Drosophila melanogaster: one gene and its partner. The protein of the gene in region 1 interacts with the protein of each later gene in a pairwise test. Each region holds a gene or a part of one and is shown on either strand. Other genes may lie near its edges.

The links. The genes of interacting proteins can lie anywhere in the genome.
Region 2: the proteins of RpL31 (region 1) and CG14861 interact in a two-hybrid assay, tested with the Drosophila melanogaster proteins (one large-scale study listed by BioGRID).

Annotation. Positions count from the first base shown.
Region 1 is NT_033778.4:9,582,705-9,590,512, reverse strand, and holds RpL31 (ribosomal protein L31), read right to left. Parts: upstream 3,321-7,808; 5' UTR 3,285-3,320; intron 3,279-3,284; exon of another isoform or gene 3,175-3,278; intron 3,067-3,174; 5' UTR 3,031-3,066; coding exon 2,807-3,030; intron 2,737-2,806; coding exon 2,586-2,736; 3' UTR 2,524-2,585; downstream 1-2,523. Other genes in the region: CG1827 (uncharacterized protein), read right to left, coding at 129-1,197, 1,251-1,363; clos (closca), read left to right, coding at 1,708-2,122, 2,183-2,507; CG12929 (uncharacterized protein), read left to right, coding at 3,848-3,863, 3,918-4,223, 4,282-4,388; Urod (uroporphyrinogen decarboxylase), read right to left, coding at 4,471-4,782, 4,842-5,585, 5,712-5,726; Smyd4-1 (SET and MYND domain containing, class 4, member 1), read left to right, coding at 6,280-6,932, 6,988-7,808.
Region 2 is NT_033777.3:15,010,560-15,016,534, reverse strand, and holds CG14861 (uncharacterized protein), read right to left. Parts: upstream 1,766-5,975; coding exon 671-1,765; 3' UTR 501-670; downstream 1-500.

The DNA.
Region 1 (7,808 bases):
CTAATTTACGGTAAAACTACCCGTCTATCTTGCTGCCGATAGGGACAAACAAATAACGCAATTTATATTGCAGATGAGAACTCCACGAAATTTAAATTTTATTGAAATACGTTACAGTTTTCGCCACCTCACAACGCCACGATATTTACTTTGTCCTGACCACCTATGCATTTGACCGTTTCCAAGCGCGTAGGCCCATCCGCTCCGGCTGGACTGCTAACCATAAAGGGGAATTCGGCCAGGCCGTAGCAGGCAGCGCCATAATTACCCAGCCGATCTACGGCGATGAGAGCACCCATGAAATCCTTGTGGTGCTTGAGAATGCGGCGAAGGCCCTCTTGAGCTGCCTCAGCCGGAGGTTTTCCCGCCCGCATGGTCTCCACCGCTAGCAGGGAGGGCAGGAAGCGCATCATCACATCTCCATCTCCGGTTGCCACGGCTGCACCCACCTCGTTGTCTGCATAAGCGCCAGCACCCGGAATGGGGGAGTCGCCGACCCGTCCGGGAATCTTGTGCCGCGCCCCGTTGGTGGAGGTGCCGGCGTGGATGTTGCTTTCCACGTCGATGGCGATCATGCCGATGGTATCGTGGTTCTTGCGTCCGATCTCATACTCATTGCGGGCACGGTCCTCCTTCCAGCGGGTCAGCGGAGTCGGCCGCGGCTTATACGGGCCGCAAGAGACCTTGGGATCCGGGTGAACGTTCTTCCAGAAGTTTGGCTGGCAGTTCTCAGCCGTCCACTGTAACCACATGTCCTTCGACTCCGGCGTGACCAGCGACTCTGATTCGAATCCCATAGCATTGGCGAAAGCTGACGCCGCATCACCCACCAGCATGGTGTGCTGCGTGTGTTCCAGAACATGCCGGGCTACCTTAATGGCATCCTTAATGCGTCGCAGACCAGCCACTGCCCCCACATCCATGGTGGCCCCGTCCATGACCATGGCATCCAGTGTGGTTTCGCCCAACTCGTCCGGCGATCCGCCATAGCCCACCGTTCGGTCACACTGGAGTTTCTCACACTTCGAGCAGCCCTCCACTACCGCATTCCGCGTCTGCCGGAGTCCACCCTTGCTTTGCTTCAGGATTCGCCAGGCGAGCACATTGGCAGCCGTGAAGTTCCAAGTGTTAATGACCATGGGCAGCAGCTCACCCGTCGTCTTATTCGCCTTCACGGCAGTGGTGCCAGCTTTTCCACTGCAAAGGGGCGGATCTTAGCGAACAAAGAATACGCTGTATGCGCTGCTCACCTAAACGCCGAAGTCAGCGTTGGTTTGGGCGAAGTATTTACTGCCGCAAGGATGGAAAACGCCATGGTGGCCAAACAAAGGATCCAAAGACTTGCCCGCAAGTGCCTTCTCATGGTTAATCGTAATGGTCTCTACGAGAAGTCTTGGTGTATCACAATCTGTCCCTGTTCTGCCGGAAAATGGTCGAGTTCTGCTTTTAAATGCTAGCAGTCTAACCTCACTGTTTTGCTTTCTTATCTGTTGTTTTGATATACCCTCTAAAAGAGTCGTACACATTTTCAAATTGGTTTAAGCAATATTTTAAAACTTGAAAATGTTTCAACATAGATTAAGATATAGGCAAAAAACCACCTATTAATATCGATAAAGTCCTATCCGTATAGCCTATATTTGGAGTGGAATTATAGGAAGAGTATTCCACGGACACATCTATAAAACACTGCTTTCCTTTTTGTAGGCACAGCACTGACACAACTAAACAAGACAAACTTGAATCCAATCAATGAGGAGGCACAGAACCCGCAGAAACTGCAATTCAGATCATATGGATTTCAGTGCCGGGCACTTCAAGAGGAGAACCAGATAGTAATCCGATGCCTAGATGAGCAGAACAACAGCAGGGAAGCAATCTTGCCCAGGCGGGCCGTAAAACAGTTGTTGCCGGTCGCTGATTCAGATGATATGACCATTCTACTTCGTACTCCCAGAGCGGTGGAGCTTTGGAAGTGGAGTAATGGCAATTACTCTCTATCAAGCAGGCTGATAGATGGGCAGGTGGAGCAAATGGCTCTTAGTCAAGGAGGTGCTGGCATAGAGAGCGGATATGTGGCGCTGATGGCTTCATCGCCAGCAGCAGAGATTCGGATTTACAGGTAGATATTCATAAGCACTTCACGCATAGGGCATTTACAAGGATTTCACTCGTTTTGCAGCTTCGGCAGCCCAGACACGAGCAGCTTCCAACTGGACCAAGTCCTGGAGCTCGAGGACTCCCAACAGTCGCGGGTAATGCGCTTTATGCACCTGCCCGAGTCCGACGATCTACTGCTCTGTGTGTCCAACGTACTGCCGCAGCAACCGCTTCGCATCTACCAGCACCGCGGAGCAGCGGGATTCCAGCAAATCCTCGGCGACAGCGCCTTGCCAAAGGCTCATGCCCTGGAGGTGCTCTATCTGCCCAGCCATAAGCTGCGACTGCTGTCCATGGCCACGGAGGAGTCGGTCTACTTGCTGCAGCCACAGTTTACTACACTTTAAGTCACTTGTTTTGTTTGTTTTTTCTAAATAAAAATTACTTTTTATTAACCGTGTTTTCTTGGCCGTCAATTACGTTGCTTAGTCGTCGCTGGACTCGACATTCTCGGTCTGCAAGTTCTTGAACGTGGACACCGGCACATAGGTCACGTAAGTGTACAGCTTGTTGGGGGAGTCCTCATCGTCGTTGCGGCGACGCGCCAGGCGCACGCGAATGCGGAATGGAGTGGACCTGGAAGGGTGGATGGATTAGCGGCGGATTAGAAAGGATGCTAAATCGGAGGAAATTAAGGACTACGCACCTGATACCCTTGGACCAGATGTGCTTGTTCAGACGGGTGTCGATCCTCACATCGGTGGTGCCCATCTCCCGCTCGGCGAACTTGCGGATCTCCTTGATGGCGCGGGGTGCGCGCTTCTTGAAGCCGATGTTGTGGACACGCTTGGCCAAGTGAATGGTGCACTCGCGCGTCACGACTTCGTTGATCGCGGATTTGTTGATTTTCTCACCCTTGGTCTTGGTCATTGTGCTGTTTAGCCCGAAACGGTGCTACTCAATATCCTGCAAGTGCGTAACAACAAATTTTAGTTAATGCCACACAACATAAACAAAACTTCAGTGGAATATTCCATTTGCAAAGAAATTGTTGCACAGCGAAAATGAACATACGCCGTGATCGGTTTTTCGACTGGGAACATTGTCCACACAGTTTTGTTGCATTTACTTCGTGGAAATATGCGATGTTTTCCGATTAATATACAAAATCGCAAATTACGAACCTCTTCCGGAAACGCAGCGAAAAGAAAAGGATAGAAGAAGAGATGCTAGAGGTGAGCAGAAAACAGTGTGGCTGCATTGTGCGACCGGCATCGTGAATATCGTTATGCCTGAAAAAGTAAATTTAGGGTATTCCGCAAAGCGCAATATTAGGGGAATTACAAATTGAATTTCTAAATCCATGGTTTGTTTGAATAATAATAAAAAATAAAAACTTAACTCTAAACAAAAAATCAAATTAGTTTTTCAAATGTACTTTAAAAGAAAGAAACCAAATACTTTATAAAAACTATTTTAATTAAAATTTACTAAACAGTGCTAAATTTAAATCCAGTATTGGAGATTAAGTTTAATGTTTTCGAATGAAAATTAATAAAAATCTTAATAAAATGGTTGCACATATTTCGATTCATAGTTTTTTATTATTATTATTATTATTCATAGTAAAATTATTATTGCATTGTTGTGTGGCTATTAATGGAATGCCCCAAATTGTTGCTCCAAAATGTAGTTTCCAAGTTGATGAAGTACAACGAAACAGCTGATCGGATGTAAACAAAATAGAATGCTGGATATCGCTGGTAAGTAAGTGAGCCAAAATATTATCGAGCTTGGCATTCAAAACTCATTTCCAGCACAACTCCTTGCCGTGGGCCTCTTGTGGGGCGTTACCAATCCGTTTATTCGCCTCGGCAGCCAGGGAATCGAGTCGGTTGGTGATACGGGCTCAAAGTGGCGTAACTTTGTCCAGGAGGCACGCACAATCGGCTCCCGGTGGCGCTATTGGATACCCTTCGGTCTCAACCAGTGCGGGAGTGCTCTGTACGTTTGGACGCTCCAGAGGGCCAGTATTACAGTGGCGGTGCCAGTGGCCAATTCCCTGAGCTTCGCATTTACGGCAATCACCGGATATGCGCTGGGGGAAAAACTGCCGGGAAGAAGTAAGCTAAATGTCTAAGTAACAACCTTGTCCACTTTGTTTACCAACTGCTCCCGCAGAAGTCATTCTGGGCACCCTGCTCGTCTGCTGTGGCAGTATCCTGATGATATACGATAAGATTTTGCAGGAACAGGCCCAGCACCAGCTAAATATAACATTCCACTGAGGTTACCCTAAACCCAAGGCCAATTGTCTTTATTGCATTCGATAAAAGCATCATAAAATTAAAGGTTAGTGAAAGGCACACCTTACAGAGCCTTGTGCACCGCCTCCACCAGCACTTCCATGCTCGTGATCGGAGTCTGAGGCGTGATTCCATGTCCCAGATTGGCGATGTAGCGCGACTTGCCGAACTTGTGCACCATTTCTGTGGTCAGGTTGCGCAGCTCATCAGGATCGCGGTACATGTCCTGAGGATCCAAGTTGCCTTGCAACGTAATGTTCGGTCCGACCAAATTGCGTGCCTCCAGCGGATCCACAGTCCAATCCAAGCCAATAACGTCGTAGCCCAGTTCGCTCTGCTCCTTCAGCGAGTGCCCAGCACCCTTAGCGAACAGCGTCTACATGGAAATTCCATTTAGTAAGCATCTTATCAATGTTTTAGTCCATGGGAACTTACCATGGGAACCACGGGGATGGCCTTCTTTGTGAGACGGTCCACCAGCTCGTCGCGTATTCTCTTCAGGTAGGGTACACACCACTGCAGGAACTGCTCCTTGGAGAGATGCTCGGCGGACGATTCGAATACCTGCAGCATTTGAGCGCCAGCTTTCACCTGCATCTCCAGGTAGTCCACAATTGCGTCGGTCAGCAGGTTCAGGAACAGCTTAGAGTCCTCAGGATGTTCGTTGAGCCAAGCTTTAGCTTTCGACATGGTCTTGCTCCCACCGCCCTCGATCATATATCCCATTAGTGTCCACGGCGCTCCTGTAAAGCCGATTAGCGGCACTCGACCTTCGAGCTTGTGCCGCATCATGGTGATTGCGTCGCCCACGTAGCTGAGGCGGGACAAGGCTCCGTCCGGCGTCAGGCGCTTGAGGTCCTCCGGCACCACGATGGGCTGTGGCAGAACGGGACCAACGCCCGCGTGCATCTCCACGGTGAGGCCGAGTGCTTGCGGAATGACAAGGATGTCCGAAAATATTATGGAGGCGTCCAGGTCGAAGCGGCGCAATGGCTGCATGGTCACTTCGCACGCTAGCTCCGGGGTGCGGCAGACGGTGAAGAAGTCGTGGTGCTTTCGCAGCTCCTGGAACTCCGGCAGGTAGCGCCCCGCTTGGCGCATCACCCAAACAGGCACCCGGTCCACCACCTCGCCACGTGCGGCGCGCAGCAGGTTATCATTCTTGAGCACGGGAAAGGGCTGAAACTCATTTCCAATTTGATCAGTTTTCACGTTTTTCAGCAGGAAAATACAGAGACACAGCAATCGAAGTCCAAACGACATGATGTAACTGCAGGCGCCACTCCGATCAGCTGGGAAACTCACCTTTGCGTCTTTCATAGTGACTTTTGGCTGTTAAAAAGGTAGTAGAGGGCTAACGAAGTTATTTCCACTGATGAAATCCGTAAATTTGATTAAATCTGTCACGGAATCCCGCAATTCTGCATGAGTGTGCGTTCTCTGCCAGACTTTGTTTACGTTTTCGCCTGGTGGTGGGAGAGGTGCGATAGTCGCCGGCAAATCGATAATTAGCTAATCTGGACAACTTTTCTTTTTAGGAGAATCAGAAATTATTCCACTTATGAATAGTTAATTCTTTTTCTTGGCTTGGGTTTGTTATGTGTCGAGTGGCCGAAAGATAATCCAGATTTTGATATAACCCGTGATCATAAAACATTTAATTTTAATAAGTTAAAAGTTTTCGACGACTTTATAATATCCCTTGATTTCAATAGAATGTGAAATAATTCCATAAGGAATAGAACTAACTAGGGAAATAGAACTTAAATTTTGAAAAATAATCGATTCTTTAATTAGCGGCTACTCGAAAAGCACCTAAAATTCACCAACCGCATGATTTGATTTTTGTAAACAATTTTTGCAGCCGGTGGACATGGAACGTTTGGCAAGAACTTTCTCCCAGCAGAACGAACTGATAACCCTGAATGAGAACTACAAGGATGAGTTCGAAACCTTCAAGTCATTGGCATCCATGCCAGCGGACATTCTGCAGATATTCCAGAAGCTGGCGCTCGACTTGCTGCAGGATTTGGAGCAACCGGTTGACAGGAAAGGATGCGCAGAACGTTCGAAAAATCTGCGCGAGGAGGGAAACCTTATGTTCAAAGAGTCCGCATCGGGATCCTCCAAGGACTCGGTTCTGAAAGCATGCAGGCTTTACTCGGAAGCCGTTTTCGAGGCTGAGAATGCTGTGGAAGAGCTGTCGCTGGCGTTTGCCAACCGAGGAATAGCTTTGCAGGAGTACGGGTACTACAGAGAAGCCTATGACGACTGCTCCAATGCGCTGGAGTGCGGATACCCGGAAAGGCTGCGGCACAAGGTGATCATGCGGCAGGCCTTCTGCGCCTGGAAGCTGAAGAAGATTGCTTCGCTAGAGGAGCATTTGGATTATCTCGGGCAGCTGCAGCTTAAAGAGAGCTTTGAGCAGCAGCTGGAAGACCTGAAGCAGAAACTGGAGCTGCTAAAGAACCAACCCAGAGAGCAGGAAACACAAGGGAAAGTGGTGGATAAATCTCTAGGGGAAATGTAAGTTTCCAAATCGATTCTGGCCACTTCTTAATTTGTAACCTTTACTTCTCAGCCTTACAGATCCTGGTCCCCGTGGTCGATATATGGTGGCTAAGGAAGCGATTAGCAAAGGCAACGTAATCTTTTCAGAGCGCGCCTCCTGCTTTGTTCCATTGGAGCAACTGCTTATTTGCCAGCAGTGCGCCGCCACCTTAATGAGCGCACCCATACCCTGCCCCAATTGCCATCAGCGGGTAGTCTACTGCTCTAGGAAGTGTCGGGAGGCGCACTCGGCCATCCACAAATTCGAGTGTGCCGCCTACAGAAAGGATATCCTCCGACTTTTGGGCATTTCGCATTTGGCCTTGCGATTGCTTTTGACTTACATTCCCTACATAAGGCCTCATTTGCAAGAGATGACCAGTGCAAAGGGTATGTGGGAAGAAATAATGAATCTGTCCCGAAAACCGGAAGAGAGTGAAAACGCTCCAGAGTATTTGCGAAGCCTGCGCATGGTCAGTCAACTGGATCAGGCTATCGATGAGGAGTTAAATTACCACATCCTCTGTGCCAATCTCCTTCAACTTTACCTGAAAGAGCACACCGATTTCTACGATCAGTTCCACTCATTGCCAGCCAGCATTGAAGATTGGCAACTGATTATATCAGCACTGATTCTGCGCTTCGCCGGCCAGTTGCTGGCGAATGGGCATGTAGGCGATGCGTTGCTCGGAGTTGGCATGGAGCCAAAAGAGTTTGTCATGCTGCAGCCGGAGTTGTGGCAAAAGCCTCGACACCTGAAACGCGGCCAGCTGCACAATCTATCCCACTCGGATCCTATCACGGCTATCAATCTGCCCTACTTGAGCTTGTGCAACCACGCCTGCGAACCCT
Region 2 (5,975 bases), on another chromosome or scaffold:
GCACGAAAATATTTTTATGCCCCGAAGACTGGCGGCCGCCGGGTAACTTCCGGAAAAGTCGTCCAACTTGCCACTTGGCGTGTGTGGCGCACATTTCGCTCCTCGGGGAGTCGTTGCCCCAGCCAAATTCCAACTGCCAGTGGTGCCGCTTTCCCGGGATGCCCAGGAAATGAAGAATTGCCTCACAGCGAGGGGATTCACGGAAACTAAACTGATAAAAACCATTGCTCCACATAAGTTGACAATTTATTTCAGTTGGCGAGGGCAAACCAAGTAGATAACCATCATGATTTTAATATCTTTTGGTCTTGCAACAAAAATTAGCAAAGAAGATGGTTAAGCAAAAAAAAAAAGTCGAATTGGTATCACTATTGGACATAATAAAAGGAAAATAAATTGGAAAGTAGCCCGTCCCACGAGAAGTGGGAGTATCAGAAAGTGGAGGTATGTTTTCTGCAGCCCGGCGATTACCTTTGATTGGTCACTTAAGCAGCGTTTTCGTTCCTGGATTGTTTTTTATTGGCAAATGATTTATATAAAGTTATTGAGTAGATACAAGGTCAGTCCATAATACAACTCAAAATTTTTTTAGTAATTTAACTGAAAATTTCGCGCAACACTATTGAATCCGAATTGTATGGTCTGTATTGGAGGCTTGCACGCGAGTTGACTATTGATCATTTTCAAGCTTTTTAAAAAGAGCGGCAGCAGATTTAAAATTGACTCTTCTACCAGGGTTCTCCGTATTCAATGAATGCACTGCAATTCGAGCCACTGGTTGATCCGAATTAATAGGTGGCAAGGGATCCGATTGCATCGCTATCTTGGCCTCGAAAAATTGTTTTGCACCACTGACACCCACTTTGGACACGTCTACCGCTTTACTCCGGGCCAAGCGTAGCCGTTCCCGATCTAAAAGATGTCCCTTTCGTAATTCCAAGCGGTTCAAAACAGTTCCGTAAATAAGGAGCGCGTGGCAGAAGGTTAAACGTTCCAAGTGATTTCCCACCACATGAGTCATTACGTTTTTGGTTGCCAAATGGGTTTGTGGCATCTCCAGTTTTTCCAGGAATCTCTTCAGTTCGCCCAGACTTATGTACCCGTCCAGGTCTTCATCCATCTGCGTGAAACAGGAATAAGCCGTATCTATTTCTTTTTGATTAAACCAAGCCGAGAAGCGTTGGTGAACTTCATCCAGACTAAGTTCGTAATCACAGTCGCTGTCTTCGGAAGTGACAGTCAGTGGTATTTTCTCCATAACGATATCTACGGATATTGTATTATTCTCAATACTTTGATATATGGAATATTCTTGTAACTGATCCTGATCTTTATCCAGATCCCGATTGAGAAAAATATCGATTGGGGACACAATAACAATGCCACTATCCAAACTCAAGGTGGATGCGTGGCAAAGGATCGACTGTCGCATATATCCGTACGAGTTACAGGATGTAAAGGATGTACCAGAACTCAGCTCCTTCACCTCTTCGATCTCCTCATCAGATTCATTGAACTCTTTCGGTGTTGTGTAGCCTTCGTTATCTTCCGCTACCTCTAGAGCTTCCAAAGTCTTCCCCGCCTCTTCTGGATCCTCGAAATTGTTCTCGGATACCTCTTCAGTATTCAACGTCCTGTCTATTTCATCACAAACCATCAACTTTTCTGACTCGATTTTCGGATCATTTTCGACCGAACTCTGAATTTCGTTCGACGTTGCTGCTGGGATTTTGATTTGGTACCGGATGCTGACTTCCTCTGACATAGTTGCAATATATTTGGTTCTCAAATATAATCGAAGCACAAGAATTTTGTTTGACGCAAAGCTGTACAAAAATATAAAAGTACAATGAAAGATTTTTACGATTATTGAACCACTTTAAATTTGTCTAAAATGACAGTTAAATCAACAATGGTGGATAAATAAATATGTATTCTTTGATTTAGGCCATGTAAGAAAAACCACATCTATAATTTCCGAGTAAGTAAGTATTCATATTAGTAACCAGGACTGTTTGCTAAATTGATTGAATGGCTTTCATATTCCCCACTTACAAGGTCCAGCTTTTTACGGTCGTGGCTCCTGTGTTCCCAGTCCATTTCATATTAATGGCATAGGGCGAAAAGTCGGCACGTCTTTTCGGTGCGGACCCTGTTAGCATGCCATGGCCATAAACAGTTAATTAAGCTTTTATTGGTTACTCTTTTTGGTTGGCGCACAGACGACGGTCTGACTGTCTGACATTTCACGTTTTATTTGACAAACAAGCGGCCAAAAAGTGACGACCATAAACGTTGACCCAAGTCGCCTTGGTTGCGGCTATGCGGCTATATAGCTTCTGATCCACCTCCGACTTTCGCAGGAGCTATTTGCCGTGTCCTGGCCGCTTACTTTTTTTCTGCCTGGCTTATTTATTCACTCATATCGTGTGCAAAAATATTTGGTGATAACGAGCTGGCAGCCCACGGCTACTTGTCATGTTTAAACCACATTTATTTGCCGCTGCCTTTGTCCCGGCGACAATAAAAAAAAGTGTACGTATTACGTATATATAGAGGACTTTTTTGTTTTGCAGCTCTTGTATTTATTTGGTTTTTCTTTTTTTTTTACTGTACTACCCATACAAGAAGAACGAGCTGCGAGAAATGTCAGAAAAAAGTTGCTGGTTTCAGCATTTAATTTACATAGCAAAGTTTTCCTTATTTTGAGAATTCTGATTATAAAATTGCCGGCGAAATGGGAACTTGCAAAAGTGCCTGCAACTGGGTTAAGCCAAAACATCGACGGCCAGATAAAAAACCAAAAAACGAACAGTTTGTCCTGCGAAAAGGGTCCTTAAAAAGGGCAGGAAGACAGCTGGTTGCCAAAAGTTGTGTGACCTTTAATCGCTGCCCACAAACGGCAAAAAAAGGCGGGGAAATGGGGACAGGATTTAATTATATAAAACAAATACTACTAAAAAATATATTAATAAGGTAAAATAGTTGGCATATTTTTTAAGGGGGGCAAATACATTGTATCCCCTCTAGAGAGATTTCCGTTTGGGGAATGCTATGCACCTGAAAAGTCTGCTTTCGGGCAGAAGAAACTTTTAGTTTGGCCTAAAAGTGTCAAAACAACTGGCTCGGAAGCTGGTCCGCCCAAAGAAAGTGTAAGTTGTTGATTTCTTGAGCCAGTGCAAGCCAGCATTGGAAGTGGGAACACCCACAAGAGCAACTCTGCCATTTGGCCAATGGCCAAGAGTCACTTTTTGCCAGTGGGCTTCGACTTTTGGGGCAGTTCATGAAAAACTGCAAGTGAAAATAAAATGCAGGCTGGCGCATAAATTGCAGCCCAGCATGGCCAGTATAATATTTGTTGAAAACAAATAAAAACGGGCTGACTACCGGTCGATCATAATTAATGATTGGAACTGGCACATTTCTCTCCGCAGGACGAGCCATAATAAATCTCAATATAACTCAAGTGACTGTTACAGTCTAAACTTTGACATTTGATAGAAGGGTTAGACGTCCACCTTTTTTTTTTTTGGGCTTGTGCAGCAATCGTTTGTCAAAAAAGGTTCAGCTTAAAGCCAAAAGCACTTGGTCTTGGTCCAGCATTTGCTGCAAAAGTTTATACAAGTATAAGACAAACACAAATATATATATATTGGACTTACCCTCTTTTAAGTCTGGAAAGCCAAATTGATTGCTTGAAAAATTTCAGCCTCATTCCGGGCCATCTTTAGTCATTCGGATCCCTTGCCTTTTTTGCCCATTTATTTTTTTCCCCATTCGGGACTTCACTTAATTGAAACCTTAAATGTTTTTACATTGCGTTTGCCTACAGCGCGAAAGGAAGGCCCAGCACAAGCACACACAAATAGTGGATGTCCGTGGAGTAAAAAGTATCCTGCTTTTTATTTTTTGTGAACTCAGCTAAACACACATGCACAAAAGCACACCAAAGTCAATCAATCAAAGTGGGACTCACCACTTGCAGGACTTTGTTTTTTGTGGTATTTTTAAGAGATTTTAACAGCTGCAAGTGTCAGTTGTATGCTGACCTTAGGAAGGGTGTGTTTTTTTTTTATTAATTCCTTGTCCCTTTCACCAAAGATCATTGGCCTTTTTAAAGCAATTAAAGAGTTCCCTTAAAATTGGGAGTGTACACCCACTTTTTTTCTAGTATATTTGAATGGCCATTAAAGTCATAATTTCACATTAAATGCAGACGTGACTGCGGCAAAAGCCAGACTACCGAAATGTCCCAATGGGCGCCACATGAATCCAATTGAGGCGACCATGTCTTGAAGGCAGTTTTTTTTTTCTGCTCCTGCACCACTGTTTTCCCGGCAGGCAGGACAAACATTAATAAGTCAATTGATGTTTGGGTTAACCCACCGACGTGGCTAGGGGGTCGATGTTAGCCAGGAGCGTCGGCCAGTTCGTCATTCGAGAGGCAGTGACTCCCTGGCGACGACATGCGTGTGCTCACATTTATCCCAACGGGAGCTGGGACTAATTGCAATTTATGTACGCAATAAAACATTCGCCAAACGGCTGCCATTCGTTACGGCCGATGGTTATAAATTTATGAATAAAACAAATTCGCCGATGGGGCCGAGGCTTTATTAATCAGTACACTGCCAGGACTCAGGACCCCCCCAGTGACCTGCAGTCGATTGGAGTCAATGCTCAAATAATCACCGCACACTCGAAAATGGGAGGAGCATGAATGGCTTGATTGGGTAAACCGGAGTTTGATTTAAAGCGCGGAATCAGGGCATAAAGAGCATTAAAAAATTTACTACTGCATTACACAAGGATCCGACGGCGAATACAAAATTTAACTGCCGCAGTCGTTACGCTCGAGGCATTAAAAGTAATCTGCTTAGCATTTTGCGGGAAATTATTCGACCAGCCAAAACAGGTGGCCAAAGGATTCGCAGGCGAAATGGTTTCAATGACGCACTGGTAATGCTCTATAGAGCCCTGTAAAGGGTATTTTCGTTTAACAAACAACTCTGTTAACTGCTGTGAAAGCCTAATATTTATTATTTTAAATAACTTTATTTATTGTCCACCTGTTATTAGAATTTATTGAAAGCCAAGGTACCAAATTTAAAAGTCGGCTTAAGCAGCAGCCACTGCCAAGTCCTACAGATGGGCATTTCAGAGGAGGGAAAAGATCCGGGCTTCTTCTCCATTTGAAGTGATTGCCGTGCACAATTCGCGCTAAAAGCTTTCACTTGCCAATTGCCGATGAAAACAAATGTGCCGCAGTCCGCAGTCCGTAGTCTCCTCTTTTTCTGTCTTCACCTATTGCCTACTCAACCGTTTCGATTGGCAGATGATTCTGTTTTTGCTGTTGTTTTGTCCAACAGAAACCAAAGTTGGTCAGCCGCTTCAAGCTGTAGAGACGTGAAGTGGTAAGAGAGCGAATGGTGAATACCCTTAATAAATATTGTAAATATTTAAACTACAAATTAAATAATTTGTATTATTCAGTAGAAGCTGTTAATATGGAATATTAAAGGACTTCAGGCTTATAAAAATTTAAAAATAGCGTAAACGAGCAATGTAATGCATTTAAGCTAATGCAGCTGAAATAATAATGTTGACAAATATAATTTTTAATTTCTTCTTAGAATTGGTCACCTTATGGGTCGACCAAGCCAATTTCGAAATTCAGTAGACCCATGAGTAAGTAACTTGGAAAACAAAGCACTCAGAACTGCTCAATGGGGTTTTGCTATCAGGACTGAGCTAATTGAAAACTACTTTCCAGTCTAGTATGTATAGTGTGTGTATACACTTACCCACACACTCACATCGGTCAAGACGGATAGAGAGCTGCAGTCAGTGCTGTCAGTAGCCAGGAAATATACAGCCTTAAAAATGTAATATTTTCTGTACTATTTAAATTTTGATGAATCTTTTATTACCACAAATAATTGTATCCCAAGAGACGGCATGAGGTAGAATTTTTG